Pelodiscus sinensis: one gene and its partner. The protein of the gene in region 1 interacts with the protein of each later gene in a pairwise test. Links are inferred from orthologs where the notes say so. Each region holds a gene or a part of one and is shown on either strand. Other genes may lie near its edges.

Region 1 (7,924 bases):
CCATCAGCAGGGTGTGACTGTGTATGTGTGTGTGTGTAAATGCATGCTACTTTGTTATATTATCAATAAATGTGGCGTGTTGCCTTATCCCCCTGAAAAAGATCCCGTGTGCTTCTTTTAAGCATAACAGCTGATTCCAATGTATTACCTTTTCCCATAATTTCCTGCAACTGTGAAAATAACAATCAATAAAATATACAAAAAGAAAAATCTTTAAACCCATAATCTGGTGCATCTGTTGGAAAAAATGAATAATAAAGGCTAAACATAACCAGTGACATTATCCATCAAAATTAAACGCAAATTCGGTGAAACCTGCATTACTCAGGCTGTAAGACACTCTCACAGGCCCTATACTGTCAACATGGAGATTGCAGACATACAGCCCCCATACACACAAGAGACAGGGGGCAAGGCTAACTTGTTCCCAGTTTATGTGAGGCTACAGACTGGCAGAGTGAAGGGAGCCTTTAGGCAACTGACTCTGCATACAAGTTCTATGAATTCAGTACCCCTGCTTATTGCCAGCAGCACCAGTCACAGAAGACATATGCCTCTGTATGAAATGGGTCTCTTATGAGAAGCGTGCAAAGCTTTTAATGGGCCCTCTTTTCTTGGGTGAATTACACCTGATATGTTCAGCACAGGCCAAAAAGCCCATTTACTATGTTAAGACAGGTTAAATTTTTTTGTACCTTTTTGGATGTTATTTTACTTTGCCAGCATTTCCTAGATTATGTTATGGTATATTTATGGCAAAATAATGTGAAAATAAGATAGACATATGAATGACTGGGCTCTGATTTGAGCCTTTTCAGTTGCTTATCTTACTATATATTTTAGAAATGAGAGTCAGTCTGTGAGTCCATTTGTTCAAGAACTGCTCCTAAATAGTAAGAGCTATGCAGCTTCCTCTTATCATAACTTAAAGCAAGGTCAGGGTTTGGTTGTGCCAGGATAAGTGAATGTGCATGGAAGGTGGTTATTTCACATCAAACAGAAAGGGGTGTGAGAGAGAGCAGGGACCATTATAAACATGCATGACCACAGGGGGCCAGGAAGTGCCCCAGTGAGCAGCTTCTGGCTGTTAGTACGGTGCCCGCCACTCCAGGGAGCAGATGCCAGAAGTGAGTGCTGATCACAAGATTGTCTACAGAGGGGCTTATGATTTGCAATGCTCTGTGCTTCCACAAGTCAGACTGTGCATTTTCTATACTATTTCTGCCAGCGGAGGAGATAGATCAGAACTGTCACAAGGACTATGGGAGCAACCCCCAAACCTGTTCATTGGTGCATAAAGGAAATTCTGGGGATTGGGGAAGCTAATTCCCATTCAGCGATCTTGTATGGATGTGTCAAATACCTAGTCCCTTTACACAATGGCCAAGGTGGATAAATGGCATGTTATTTGGAGTGACTGCCTAAGCTGCAAGGCAATAATTATAAACTGAGTTTTTCATGCAGTTACCAAAGACAATTGGTGATGCAAAAAAGATATTTTGTATCATAGACTAGTACTTGTATAATGGCTACTAAAATAAGGGAGACAGCTAACCAGTACAGTATGTGCTAAAGGTGTGATGCAGTAGGTATCACAGTAAGTAACAATTTAAAATCATGTGTAGGTGCTCTGTTGTGATCTATGCTACAGACTTATGATGATGTACATGTCACCCAGAGTGTGAAAAATCAGCACACCTGATCAGCAGTTACATTGACCAAATTCCTGTTGTAGGAAGGACTATATCTCTGGCAGCGTTTCTGGTGTCAGCATGGGGGAAGTAGAGTACCTATGCTTGTAGGAGAAGTTCTCATTTGTGTAGATAGTGTCCAAGTGCCACAAGAGCACTGCAGCATCCATGTAAACTGTGCTGCTGCAGTGCTGTATGTGCTGACAAGCTCTTTATCTCACAGGCGTCATTCCTGCATAATAATTTGCATAGGTGCAACAGTGTAGTGAAGCAAAACACATGCCCAAGGATAAGTCTATATAGCATTGCAAATCTGGGCTAACCCTCAGATTTGATCCCACCCATGTCCACAAAGAAATCTGTCTAAATCAGGTCAACAAGCAATCAGGACCCAGGTCCTTTTGAGCCTAATGCCTGTCCTACAATACAGGTAGGTCAAAAAAGGCAGCTTATATCAAACTAATTCTATAAGCATGTACATCAAAATGTAGCTCCCACCAATGTAACTCACCCACTACTGACAACTTCAAATCCAGGAGAGGTGCAGTGTTTAGGTCGATGTCACTAGGTTGCTACAGTGTCAGTGTAGACACTGCATTGCTTACATTGATTGTAGCTGCCTTTCAGAAGTCACCCCCCAGTGCCCCACACCAGCAGCTCAATCATAGGTGCAAGCACTTAGTCCTGGAACAAGGACATGTAATGTAGCCACCAAACCTAATGTAATTACTGCTGTGGCTATACATCGTTGTAACTTAGGTCAACTTAATTTTAAAGTGTGAATTAGGTCCAAACTTTGTCTTGCAGCTGGAGACAGCTCCAGCCACAGGCTGAAGTCAGGCCTGCCTATTAACGTGGCTGTGCGAGCCCCAGAGCCAGTAACTGTAAAACCAGGTTTAGCATGTGGTGCCCATGTTCAATTGCAGGCTTGGAAACACAGAGCATGCACCGCAGGCCCCTCAGTCCCGGCCTTAGTGCAGCACAGGCATAATCTCAGAGATTTGGTCGTGGTGGGAACTGACTCCCAGAGACCCAGGGCTGGGCTGTGTCCCTTTCAGCGGTTCTAGCCCCAACAGCAGTCCCGGTGCGGGTCCCAGTTATCACCCCCCCCCCCCAGCACTTACATCCTGGTGATCCTCCACCACGCACACGGGCAGCGCCGGGTAGCTCCGCAAGCGGCCCGGCTGCCCTGCGCTGCTCATGGCGGCCGCGCTAGGCGAGCGTTCGGAGCCAAGAACTTTCGGGCCAGCAACGTTCTACGGTCCGAACGCCGAGGGCCGCGACGTTCCGCGGAGCACCAGCGTGGGACACCCGTGCGGCAAGGGGAGGAGCAGGGGGCGGCCCCCCTCCCCTGCCATGGGCCGGGCCGCCGCGCTCCGCAGCCGGGGCTCCCCCGCAGGGGAGGGGAGCGCACGGGGCCAGGGGCTCGCCGGCCCTTCCTTGGCCCATTGCCCGCCCCCTCTGTGACCCGGCCCGGATGGCTGCGGCTGGGCTTCCGCGCGGGGTGGATGCTCCTCCCTCCCTTTTCCTGTTCCGGAGCCGGTGTCTGGCTGACTGGTGCCCGGCCTGCGCCGCGGGTGTTGGTCTGCGAGGGGGGCTCGTGCAGGTAGGATGGATGCCCCCACCCCCTCCCTAGGAGAGCGGTTCTCTCCCCCCGCTTCGTGCTGGGAGGGGGCTCCCTATTCCCCGGGTCCCACCTCCCCTTCCCAGGAACCAGCGTCTTCCCTCCGCTTCCTTCCCGGCTGGGCACCTTGCTCAGGATGCCGGGTAGGGTTGGAGCTGTCTGCGCTGATTTCACGTGGACCCTTTTCACTGGGTCGCTTAGGTTTGAATGGAGGGGAACCAGAAACCCACTAGAGCTGCTGCGTATCGCCTGGGACTTAATGCCAGGATGGCTTCCTTCCTCCTGCAAGAGCTTTGGGTGCAGACTTGTGTGTTTCCTCCTACCTTTTGTTTGGTGTTTGCAGCAGCTGCGTTGAGTTACAGGTTGACTGCAAAATCCCAAGTTCACAGAACTTTGTCTTGCTTTGTAGTTTGTCCTGGGCACACCTAAGGGCTTGCCCACACTACAAAGTTGTGTTTTAACAGTACAGGTACAGTCAAAACGGTGTGACCTCCCTAGTGTGGATGCAGTCATATCCATATAAAGATGCTTATAGTGATAGAGCTATTGTAGGGCAAAGGAAATAATTATCCTGATAGAAAGTGGTGTAGCCCTGCTACTTTGGATGTGGTTACATTGGTTTATAAAGGTGCTTCCTCTACAGGGAAAAGAAAATCTAATGTGTAGTGGCATAAATCACTTTTTATGCCATTAAAAATATCATCCCTTAACTGAAATAGCCCCTAACTGGTAAAACAGCTTTAAGCATAGGCAAGGCCTAAATGTGATGCACAGCTGATACCATCTATCAAAGCTCTCAGACTGTCTGATGTAGGGCTGCCAACTTTCCTGACTGGATGGATGGGACATCACTGCTGCAAATGGCATCTGGTCTATGAAGCCAGGAAAGCTGGTAACTCTAGATCCGTGGTGCCCAACACCCTAGCCACATGTGGCTGGTTGACTGTGGTTAGTTCGCTTTAGCAATAGCTACTAGAGGATGTGTCTAGACTACAGGGTTTTTTCGAAAAAAGTGGCCTTTTTCCAAAAAAACTTCCCCTGCGTTTAGACTGCTGCCATTTTCTTTCAAAATTAAATCAAAAGAACGTGGCGTTTTTTTCAACTGTGGTAAACTTCATTTTACAAGGAAGAACGCCTTTTTTCAAAAGTGCTCTTTCGAAAAAAGGTGTTCTTGAATGCAAACAGGGCTTCTTCGAAAGAAAGCATCCAGGCTGCCTGGGTGCTCTCTTTTGAAAAAGCGATCTGTTTTTTCGAAAGAAGTGGTTGCAGTCTAGATGCTGTCTTTTGAAAGAGGCTAGATGTAGTCTAGACATAGCCATAGTGGCTACTGCTTCAGAACTGGTTGAACACCACGGATCTGGATGATGGCCTCTTGACACCACCCTTTCTGGCTTAAAGGTCAGACATAAGGCTCTGCTGTTAGGATGGAGCAAAAATAGACTACTTTCAGAAGACTGCTCAAACAACACACTTGTAAATTGCTAGTGTGGTGACTGAGGAATATCTGTGTTAAGATCCTTACATAGTGTCATCACCCACAGTATCTGTGGGAAGAAAACTACAAAATTAGAAAAAAATGAGTGGTCCTGTTGTACCTTAGAGATTAACATAAATATATAAATATTATCATGATTTTTCATGGGCACAACTCACTTCTTTGAAAGAGTAGAGCAGCTTTTTTTGCTCCATTCTTCTGAAGAAGTGGGCTGTGCCCACAAAAGCTCATGGTACTATTTAAGTATTTTTGTTATTCTCTAAAATGCTATAGGACCACTAAATTACAGACTAGCACTGCTTCCCCTCCGAGACTACAAAATTAGGTCACCTTAATTTAGGTGTGTGGGGCATCCTGCCTCACAGTTGGGTCATCACCCCAGGATGAGGACTTAAGCTGTGAGCCCAGTGCCAGGTTGACAGCTGGGGGGTGGGCAGCTGTAAGCCCCATGCTGGGCGCAATATCAGGGCAAGAAGCATATTAGCAGTAAAATTGACATTCTTGTCAGTTTCAAGACGCTAGCTCTGACCTTTGCCACTGATGCTCTGAGCTGGAGGCAGCCAGGAAGTTGTCAACAGACAATGTAAGTAACAGTGTCTACATCAGGAGCAGGCAAGATTTGGCCCACCAAGCTTCTGAATCCAGCCCCTGCTCCCAGCCTTGATCCCTCACTACAACCTCATTTGCGGCTCTGGCCTCACTTCCGGACCCAGACTAAGCCTAGGCCTCCTTGGTCCTTGCCATATTTGCCTTCCCTTTCCACTCTGAGTTGTATTCCCACGCTCAGCCCCTGGCAAAGAATGCACAGCATGGACAGAGGTAAGGAAGGGCATGATGCTGAAAAGTTTGGGGCCACTGGTTTGTTGATACCACCAACATATTTTGAAGAGCCAGAAACAGAAACTACATTTTTTTTTTAATCTTTGGTATTCTTGTGAATGTGTGTTTTTTAAAGATAACAGGTCAGACCTCAACTTCAGTAGCTATAGCTCATCTAAAACGTTTTCCTCTTTTCCCCTAAAAGGAGACCGTTATTGTTACCGTTTATATAATCAGGCACTCTGTCAAACAGGGATGGAAAAGAGGGAGGAAGAAAATTTCTTTGTAAAAAGACCCTACGATTAAAGGGAATATGGACTACTATTAAAATGAAAGCAGTACTGGTTCATGCCTCATATGTCTAATGCTTTAAGTGTTTTTTTTTTTTTTTTAAATAGTTACCCATTTTAACTCAGGACCTGTCGCCCGGCCTGCCTCTAGTTTCGCTGCAGCTGTGAGGTCACATCGCATGGCCAGGGCCACTGCTATCCAGTGTGGCTGGCTGCGGGCAGAATTCACTGGCCAGGGCTGGTTAATCAGTAAGCACACCAGTAACTCTCATGCAAACCGGTATGCTTACTTTTTACCCATTTTATATCCCTAAATAAAAGCTTTGATGTTGCCATAGGATTTGGCTTGCTGAGGGCTCTGTGACTCAACCCCAAACCATGTTTAATTGTGCATGGGTCCATTTATTCCGTTTAAATTAACGGGGAATGTGATTATGCCTTGGTTATCCCTGAATTTGTCCATAGCCATGCATCCAGTTTGTAGATCATATGGCTAGGTAACTGGCAAATGGGGAAGTTGACACTCTAAAACCATTGCGTGTTTTATTTCTTTATCCTTCTTGGGTTGCTTGTGTTCTTAGATTGTGAGTTCCTTGGAAGGCATGATTATGTCTGTTTGAAAATTGCCAGGCATATTTTGGACGCTGACATAATCCCATTAATAATGATAAAACTGGACTGAAGCTCTGGAGAAATCAAGGCTTCAGCCACATTTCTCAGATAGATTTGATCAAGCTTTCACCAGTTTGTGAAATATTGGTATGCCCGGAGTACCTTACAGACTGGCACTACGTGCATAATAAGACTAGAAGAAAAGAAGGTTGGAAGCAGGTTTCCAAATGTGGTTATATTTGTAGGGTAGGCAATATCTGTAGGGTAGACAAATTCCTTCATGATTCAAGGAAGACTTTATATTTCTGACACAAGTTGTTTAGTTATTATGTGCTTGTTTATATGAAATTACTCCAATTATATTTTAAGACACTGGTGGGTTTTCTTTACTCTTTTCTCTGTGTTTTAGCGAAATGCCGTCAAATTGAAAACTACATTTAAAAATAAATCTTTATCCCACTCCTTAAAATATCAAGGTTGAAAGAATTTTAAATATTGAATGTATTTATCCATACCATTTATGTATTTGTTTCTTTTTTTCTCACATTGACTAGTCACTTCCACTGTCTGGGTCCCATATGTTAATACAATGCTACAAGTTGTGGTTGCAACCAATTAAATGTCACATTTCATTGCTTAAATGGAGGCGGGCAGGGAGCTGCTGGTTGTTGCTGCTGGTTAATTGGTTAATAACTGACATCCCTAGTTGCAGTTACTTTATGGCACTGATTCTGCAAAAGCCTTATTCATGTGCTTAACTTCATACACTGTGAGTAGTCCCATTGTCTTCAAAGTCCCATAGCATATAAAGTGGAGTGTATTGTAAGTCTTTATAGGATTGGGGCCAAAAGAGGGAGCATAAACTGCCATTGTCTTTCTGATAATAGGTTAGCTGGGATTTGATATAATAGGAAAAGTTAGTGAAATTCTTATGCTTAAGGTTTAAAATTGTATGAGTGGCACTTTTTGTGTACATTTATATTATGGTTGTTGCAGAAGTTAGAATTAATGTGCCAGCAAAACATATTACTGGATTAGTGATTTTTGGAGAGTTTTATGAAAATTATAACCAATATTCAGGTATTAGAATTAGGAATGTGAATGACTAGTCGGTTAGTTAACTCTCCGCTAAGCGAATGCTTATCAGATAGTCGACAGGCTAGTCAACGAGTTGCTTTCTCCCACCCACTCCTTGCTGCCTCTATCAGAAAGAGGAAGTAAGTGGGGGGAGGGGAGGAATGGGGTGCTTCAAGGTAGCAGGGCCACGTGGAGCCTGGTGTCAGACTCTGGGCTCCATGAGGCGCTGCTGCTTTAAAAGGCTGCACAGCAGTGCTGCATGGAGCCAGGGGTCTGCCACTTTGAACTGCCACGTGCAGCCCAAGGTTCCCAGCTG
Region 2 (7,462 bases), on another chromosome or scaffold:
CTTTAGATTCCAGCCCCTTGATCCCCCTCGAAACGCTGCCCCCCTCCTTCTGAAAACTCTGTGTCTCGGCCCCTTTGTGGAGGCGGGGGTGACCCGTCGGGTCTGTGCACTGCCCACAGCCCCCGGAAGCTGTCCCTGTGCCTCTACCTGCTGCCCACACATCTCCCTGCCCGGCGCGGGGAGGGCAGAGCGTTCCGACTACACTGGGTTAGTTGTGGGACGAGGTCTCCTCCCCTCGTCGTTCTCCACCCCGCTCCTAGGTGTGGCCCCTGGCTGCTGTGGGGGGAGGGTATCTGCAACGCTTTCCCAGGGCCAGGCAAGCTGGCCGCATGGCTCCAAAGCAGAGCTGGGTTTGAGGACTATGGCACGGTATTGCCTGGCGTGACCTTGTCGCTGTCTCTCTGGGCACCAGCTCCCCGCCTCTAAAACGGGGCTAAGCCCCTTCCCTGCTCCCTGCTCTGTGACTCTCAATTCCTCGGGGATCTCTACAGCTACTGCAACAAAAGTCCCTACCCACGGCTCTCTCAGGTGAGCTGCTCCCTGGTCTTGCCACCTGGAAGTGCTATGAACTCCCTTCTCTCGGGAACAAAATCCTCAGCCACGTGCCATGCAGTTGGGAAGCTGATTTTTATGGTGTTGCTCCTGGCAGGCCAGTAAACTGAGTTGTGCCGGAAGAGGCCTCAGCACTGCTCAAATCCAGCATGGCTTTGAGTTGTTTGTTTTTAACCCTCAGATACTGACTGGTCCAGGGGGTTTGCTCCCAGTTTAAATGTAAAACGGTGTGTGTGTGTGTGTGCCTCTGCGTGCGTGTGTGCGATCCCCACGTCTGTCAGACTTGTAAGCTCTGGAGAAACTTCTTTACACGATGCAGCATAGCACCTGTGATCTGCTCCCTGAATCTGCCTTGAAGGGAGCAGACTCTTGTACGTGAGTTTCTTGTGATTATTTTCAGTAAATTATGCTGGGAAAAGCAATGTTGGTTTTCTCTCCACATACCTTGGGCACGATGACACGACATTTGGGAAACAGAGGGGCAAGTTGGGACGGACGGCTGCAGAGTTCTGCCAACGCCCCTCCTTCCCAAAGTGCAGCCCCCTGCTACCCTGGCTCTAGGTTCAAACACTCAGAGCTCTGCTAGTGTCGCACTCAAATAATCCTGACCCACGGCCTCTTGCTAGCTCAGCCCTGGCTCTCCCACTGCCCTGCGAATGTGGATGGGGTCATGTGCTTTTGTGGGCACAACCCACTTCTTCAGATGAATGGAGAAGTCTCCCAATCAGGTCCAGAAATGATGAGCCATATGAGGGTTTTGGGATGTGCAGGGATGGCATTTTCACACTTCATAGCCTAGCCTTCTCCCTCCCCCACACCTCCTGAGCTGGAAGCTGCTTGCCTGACCAGATCCCTTCTCATTGGTGCTTCCAATCGCTACCACATTTTCCTTGGCAAACAGACACCTACAATGAGGGCACCTACTGAAAGAACCTTAACCCCAGCAGGTGGTTGAGGAAAGAACATACGGAAACACCCCATGGATCAGTAGCTGGGAACCACATCAGGGAAGAAAGAAGGCTGCCTCCCCATCTTTAACACCCCCACTTTTGCTTCTCCACAAGGGCATGCCCCACAGACCCCCAGTCTCCAAAGTCTGTCCTGTACTCTGTCCCCAGCACTCGAATATGAACAGAAAAGTTTCTCTAATTAAAGGAGGAGGGGTTTTCTGGGATGTAAGGAAGAGATTTGAACGCAAGTTTCAACCTGAGCAGATGAACATGAGTGCTCCCAGATGTTTTTAACTTGAGCGGATATTGTTTTGTACAAGATAGACTCCAATTCAAACAGGGATTCATTCAGGGCTGTTCTCTGGCCTGTCTTAAACAGGAGGGCAACTCTTTTTAGCTTAAGAGTGGGAACAGGTTTAGGTGAAACCAAAATAAGTCACGTTTAAATCCCAAATCAGCCACGTTTAAATCCCAAATCAGCATCCTCCCAGAATCCAAGGTGTTTGCTCCAATTTAACTATATTGGACATCCGTGCCAGTGTAGACGCTCTCTTGTGCAAGAAAGCTCCGATGGCCATTTTAGCCCCTGGCTTTCTTGCGCAAGAAATCAACTTGGCTGTCTACACTGGCCCTCTTGCGCAAGAGGGTTTATCCCTGAGCGGGAGCGTCAGAGTATTTACGCAAGAACCACTGATTTTGTACAGTACAAAGTCAGTGTTCTTGCGCAAATACTCGCGGCCAGTGTAGACAGGCGGCAAGATTTTGCACAAAAGCATCCGTCTTAGTGTGTTACCACAGCATCTAGGAGCCCCAGTTACAGCCCAGAACCTGAGGTTGCTACAGGTGGCACACATATCCAATTAAAAACTGGTCTTTGTTCCAAAGTGCTTCTAATCTAATTATAAAATAGGTGAGAGCAGGTAGATACAGCACAAGGAAGCCATACTGGTCAGCAGCTGCCTAACTTTTGTCAAGGTTTTTGCAAGGGGCTGCAGGGGAGAAAGCATAAAGATACTTGTTTGAAAACTGGTGCAATTGTCCCTATGTCACAAAATGTTTGCATGCAAAAAATCCCCCCTCCCCCAGGCAAGTTCATCTTTGTGGACAGGCAAGCCCTCCTGCTGGCAACAAGTTGTTTACACCCACTTGCCACAGCAAGTTCAAGCTCCTGTGAAGTACAGAAGTTTTGTCATTCAATTGGAGGTGTTGACAAAGCCCGGTAAACAGACACACCTACTATGTTGAGAACCAGAGTCAATGGCACTGTGCTACAAGGCATGAGGATTAAGCCTTCAAAGGCTGATAGTCCAATGTCTAGTTTCAGGTCTGGTCAACATAGCAAATGTTCAGCAACCGGAAAAATAGCTATGCTACTCCCTGTAGCTATGCTAAGCCCGAAGGTAGATAGAAACACTCCTTTGCCAACCTAGCTCTATCTTCCGACAGGGAGATGGTAAAGATGGAAATTCCCCTTGTGTGGCTACACCTTGAGCCTACATGACCAGGTTACAACAGCACAGCTACGGCACCCCAGCTATTGACACCGTAGTGCAGACAGAGTCCTACCGTCCCAAACCAAGCAAGACACAGACACACAGCATCAACAGTGAGGCTGCACATGCTTTCCTGGCCAGTAATCCCAAGCAGGCAGAAAAGAGCTGGTTTTAAATAGAGGTTTCCTCTTTGCCCATTGCAAAAACAAAATAATTGCACAACTCAAAAACCGGGCCAAATCCAGCCAGCACAGACCCCTAAGAAGTCTTTTTCTAATGGGGTGCGTCTAGACTGGTAAGATTTTGCGCAAAAGCAAGCGCTTTTGTGCAAAAACTTGCCAGCTGTCCACACTGGCTGTTTGAATTTGCGCAAGAGCACTGACTTTGTAATATACAAAATCAGTGCTTCTTGCCCAAATACTTTCACGCTCCCGCTTGGGAAAAAGCCCTCTTGCGCAAGAATACTTGCACAAGGCGGCCAGTGAAGACAGGGAAGAACTGTTTTGCACAAAAAAGCCCCCATGGCTAAAATGGCGATCGGGGCTTTCTTGTGCAAAATCGCGTCTACACTGGCCACTTTTTGCGCAAAAGCATCCGGGCCAATCTAGACGCGCTGCTGCGGGAATACTTTTAATGGAAAAGTTTTTCCGTTAAAAATATTTCCGCAAAATCATGCCAGTCTAGTCGCAGCCATGTACTTAAAGGGCCAGAGACCGACCCCCCCATCCCATCCCATCTGACTTTGCTTATCTGCAGGGCGAAGCCTGTCCATGGCCGTTAACAGCCTCTAATCAGCTGCCTGTTTGCCCTGTATCTGGGGCCCATCTCGCCGGTCAGGAGGCCTGCGGGGAAGGCGAGGCCCAGGCCCTGCTCCTCACCACCCCACCCCCCCCCCCCCCGGGCCAGGGGTGCGAATCCTGGGCAAACGCTGCGGGGGGGGGGGGCTGTTCTGCCTCCCCCGTCCTGCTGGATGAGTCGCCTGCTGGCAGCGCGGGGGGGGGGGGGGGGGGGAGGGGCTTGTGCCCCGCCCTCTGCTGGGGCAACCACACTCCAGCCACTTGTGTGGCACCGCCCGGGGGGGCCACACGCCCGAGGCAGGGCCCCCCAGCGCCGAGCCTCTGCCCCAAGGGACCCCCCCGCCTGCCCCCCCTCGGGCTGGGGGTCCCTCCCGCCTGCCCCCCCCCTCGGGTCTGGGGGTCCCGTAAATCTTGGGGTCTCCCCCGCTACGGGGGCCATCTTGGAAACAGGGGGGGGGATCACCTCAGCCCCACTTCCGCTCCAGGCGCCCTCCTGTGCCCTCATTTCCGCCTGCCCGTGCTGTCAATCATTCCGCGCTGGGCGGGAAGGCCAGCCAATGGGCGCCCGCGGGGCGGGCGGGCCGAGCGCGTTTCTCTTCCGGTTCGGCGCCGGAAGTGCCGGTCGCCGTTGGAAACGCGGCCCGGGCAGGAGGCTGGCCACAGGTGGGGGGGCCTGACTGCGATCTCCCCCCCCCCGCCCCGGAAGTGACCCGCGGGTCCCTGGGGGGGCTGGGTCGGCTCTTGTCCCCCGTACCTGGGGGATTCCCCATCCCGGGGGGGGGGCGCTGGGCCCCTGTACCTGGGGGATTCCCCATCCCGGGGGGGGGGGGGGCGCTGGGCCCCTGTACCTGGGGGATTCCCCATCCCGGGGGGGGGGCGCTGGGCCCCTGTACCTGGGGGATTCCCCATCCCGGGGGGGGGGGGCGCTGGGCCCCTGTACCTGGGGGATTCCCCATCCCGGGGGGGGGGGGGCGCTGGGCCACTGTACCTGGGGGATTCCCCATCCCGGGGGGGGGGGCGCTGGGCCCCTGTACCTGGGGGATTCCCCATCCCGGGGGGGGGGCGCTGGGCCCCTGTACCTGGGGGATTCCCCATCCCGGGGGGGGGGGCGTTGGGCCCCTGTACCTGGGGGATTCCCCATCCCGGGGGGGGGGGGCGTTGGGCCCCTGTACCTGGGGGATTCCCCATCCCGGGGGGGGGGCGTTGGGCCCCTGTATCTGGGGGATTCCCCATCCCGGGGGGGGGCGCTGGGCCCCTGTAACTGGGGGATTCCCCATCCCGGGGGGGGGCGCTGGGCCCCTGTAACTGGGGGATTCCCCATCCCGGGGGGGGGGCGCTGGGCCCCTGTAACTGGGGGATTCCCCATCCCCGGGGGGGGGGGCGCTGGGCCCCTGTATCTGGGGGATTCCCCATCCCGGGGGGGCGCGCTGGGCCCCTGTATCTGGGGGATTCCCCATCCCGGGGGGGCTGTGGTGTTGGGAGGGTTTGGTTAAATCCCAGAGAGCACTTCTACCCCCATCCCGTTGCAGCCCCTTCCCCCCCCATTCCTGAGTGTGCTGCAGCTGGGGGTGAAGCAAAAGGGCAGCATGTGCCATTCTCCCTGGCTCCGACCGGACTGACACTTTCTCTCTTGTCTGCAACTTACAGGCAAAGATGGGCCGCAGGAAGTCAAAGCGGAAGCCCCCACCCAAGAAGAAGATGACGGGCACCCTGGAGACGCAGTTCACCTGCCCCTTCTGTAACCACGAGAAATCCTGTGACGTCAAAATGTAAGCAGAGCGGCGTTTCTGGTTCCAGTGCCGGGGCGCAGCCAGCTGGACGGCTGTGCTAGGGCTCCAAAGGGTGCGCTTACACTGCCTGTCGCTTCTCGGGGTGAAGGGGATGACCTCATTCCCATCTGGGGCTGGGTCAGGAAGTCCTTGCATTGTGGGGTTAGAGGTGTTTCCGGGGGGATGCCAGGCATTCGCTGAAGTGTCATGCTGGCCACTGCTGGAGGTAGGACACTAGGCTGTAGTCTTGGTCTGGTGTGACAGGGGGAGGAAACAGGGCTAGATTGGCCTATTGGTTTGATCCAGTGTAGTAGCAAGGGAAGGGTGGACAAAACAGAGTAGATATTCATATCTAGCTCTATAGTGATTAACGCACTGGGCCAGGACTCCAGATATATTGATTCTCTTTCCAGTTCTGCCCCTGGTCTGCTGAGTAGGCATGTAAAAATCCCATTTAACCAGTTAATCGCTTAAACAGAATCTCGCAGGTGGAGGGACCCTCCAGCCCGGCTAGCTCACAGTGATCCCCTGCCTGCAGCACGGTGTGCCAACCAGGCTGGAGCAGCCCTCCCATCCATGTTGGACAGAAGTTAGCTCCAGCCCAGCTGGACCGCCTGTTAACCGGTTAACTGTTTAACCGGTGAAACTTCATGTCTCTCTGCCTCGGTTTCCCCGTTTGTAAAATGGGAATAATAATGCCAGTGTCATTTATATATTGCTTGAGGTCTACACACAAAAAGAACTAGAGCTAGGGGCTGTAGTTGCTATTACTATTAGCACTTATAATCTGTAGATTGGTGAGCCATTTGTCAGGTCTGGCCTGGCAAGGAAGGGGAATGTTACAGAGTAAGCTGGGCCAATTGGTCTCTTCCAATTGGAAATGAAAGCCAGGCTAAAAGGGGTCCATTTGGTTTGATCTGGCATAGGACAGAAAGAGGGATATAAGGCTAAACAGGCCAGTTGATTTAATTGTAGTGTAGTCTGTTTGTGACAGGAAGAGCCATATGGAAGCATTTCTGTAACTAAGGAACTTACTTTTTAAATGATATAAGAGAGCAACTGTAATTAGCTCACAGGAAGGGCATCTGGGGTTTTGCTATACAGGCAGTCCCCGGGTTACGTACAAGATAGGGACTGTAGGTTTGTTCTTAAGTTGAATTTGTATGTAAGTCGGAACTGGTACATATTGTAGGGGAAACTCTAGCCAAACATTTCTCCAGAGCTCAGTTTTATTCTCCCACACCTCGCTTCCCTCAGTCCTTTATTCTCAAGCTGAGGTGTCTGCTGAGAAAAGCCGCTCTGCATCTTCCTGGTCTGCTGGAGGGGGGCGCTAGCTTCGCGTCTCCCTGGTCTGCTGGGGGGAAGCAGGTAGTGCGGGGTTCCCTCACCCTGTTTGTAAGTAGGGATCCGATGTAAGTCGGATCCATGTAACCCGGGGACTGCCTGTACCCTCATCAGCAAGTACTACTGAAGCGTGACTTCATATCATGGATCACTTCCATAAAAGTAGTACTAAAGTGCCACAAGATTTCCTTCTTGGGGTGAAGCTTAGGAAAAAAAATCCCCTGTTTTCCTGTTCATGAGTGTATAATCAACCACACTGGAACTCAGGTTTGTACCATCTCAAATCCTGCACCTTTCAGAGCAGTACAGATGGTTTGCACATTTCCACCTTACTTATCTTCTTGCCCAATGCCTAAATGTTCAGTTCTTTTAACCTCTCATAAATCCTGAGATGGAACATAATCCGTTGGTGAAAGCAGAAGACCAGGAGTCAGGACTCCTGGGTTCTTTTTCCAGCTCTTGCAACCAACTTGCTTCACGATCATGTTGGGCAAGTTGCTTCCCTTCCATTCACTGTTTTGTGTCAGTAAAATGTGAATAACTTAGCAGCTCTTGGG

The links. The genes of interacting proteins can lie anywhere in the genome.
Region 2: the proteins of C2H5orf22 (region 1) and ELOF1 interact in binary tests that used the Homo sapiens proteins (3 or more experiments, as listed by UniProt). The two-hybrid records come from large-scale screens. The link is inferred for Pelodiscus sinensis from reciprocal best matches to the Homo sapiens genes C5orf22 and ELOF1.

Annotation. Positions count from the first base shown.
Region 1 is NC_134712.1:120,056,360-120,064,283, forward strand, and holds the start of C2H5orf22 (UPF0489 protein C5orf22 homolog), read right to left. Parts: upstream 3,037-7,924; 5' UTR 2,894-3,036; coding exon 2,816-2,893; intron 1-2,815.
Region 2 is NC_134729.1:12,748,816-12,756,277, reverse strand, and holds the start of ELOF1 (transcription elongation factor 1 homolog), read left to right. Parts: upstream 1-4,324; 5' UTR 4,325-4,455; intron 4,456-5,439; 5' UTR 5,440-5,445; coding exon 5,446-5,561; intron 5,562-7,462. UniProt on the Homo sapiens protein: Factor involved in transcription-coupled nucleotide excision repair (TC-NER), a mechanism that rapidly removes RNA polymerase II-blocking lesions from the transcribed strand of active genes.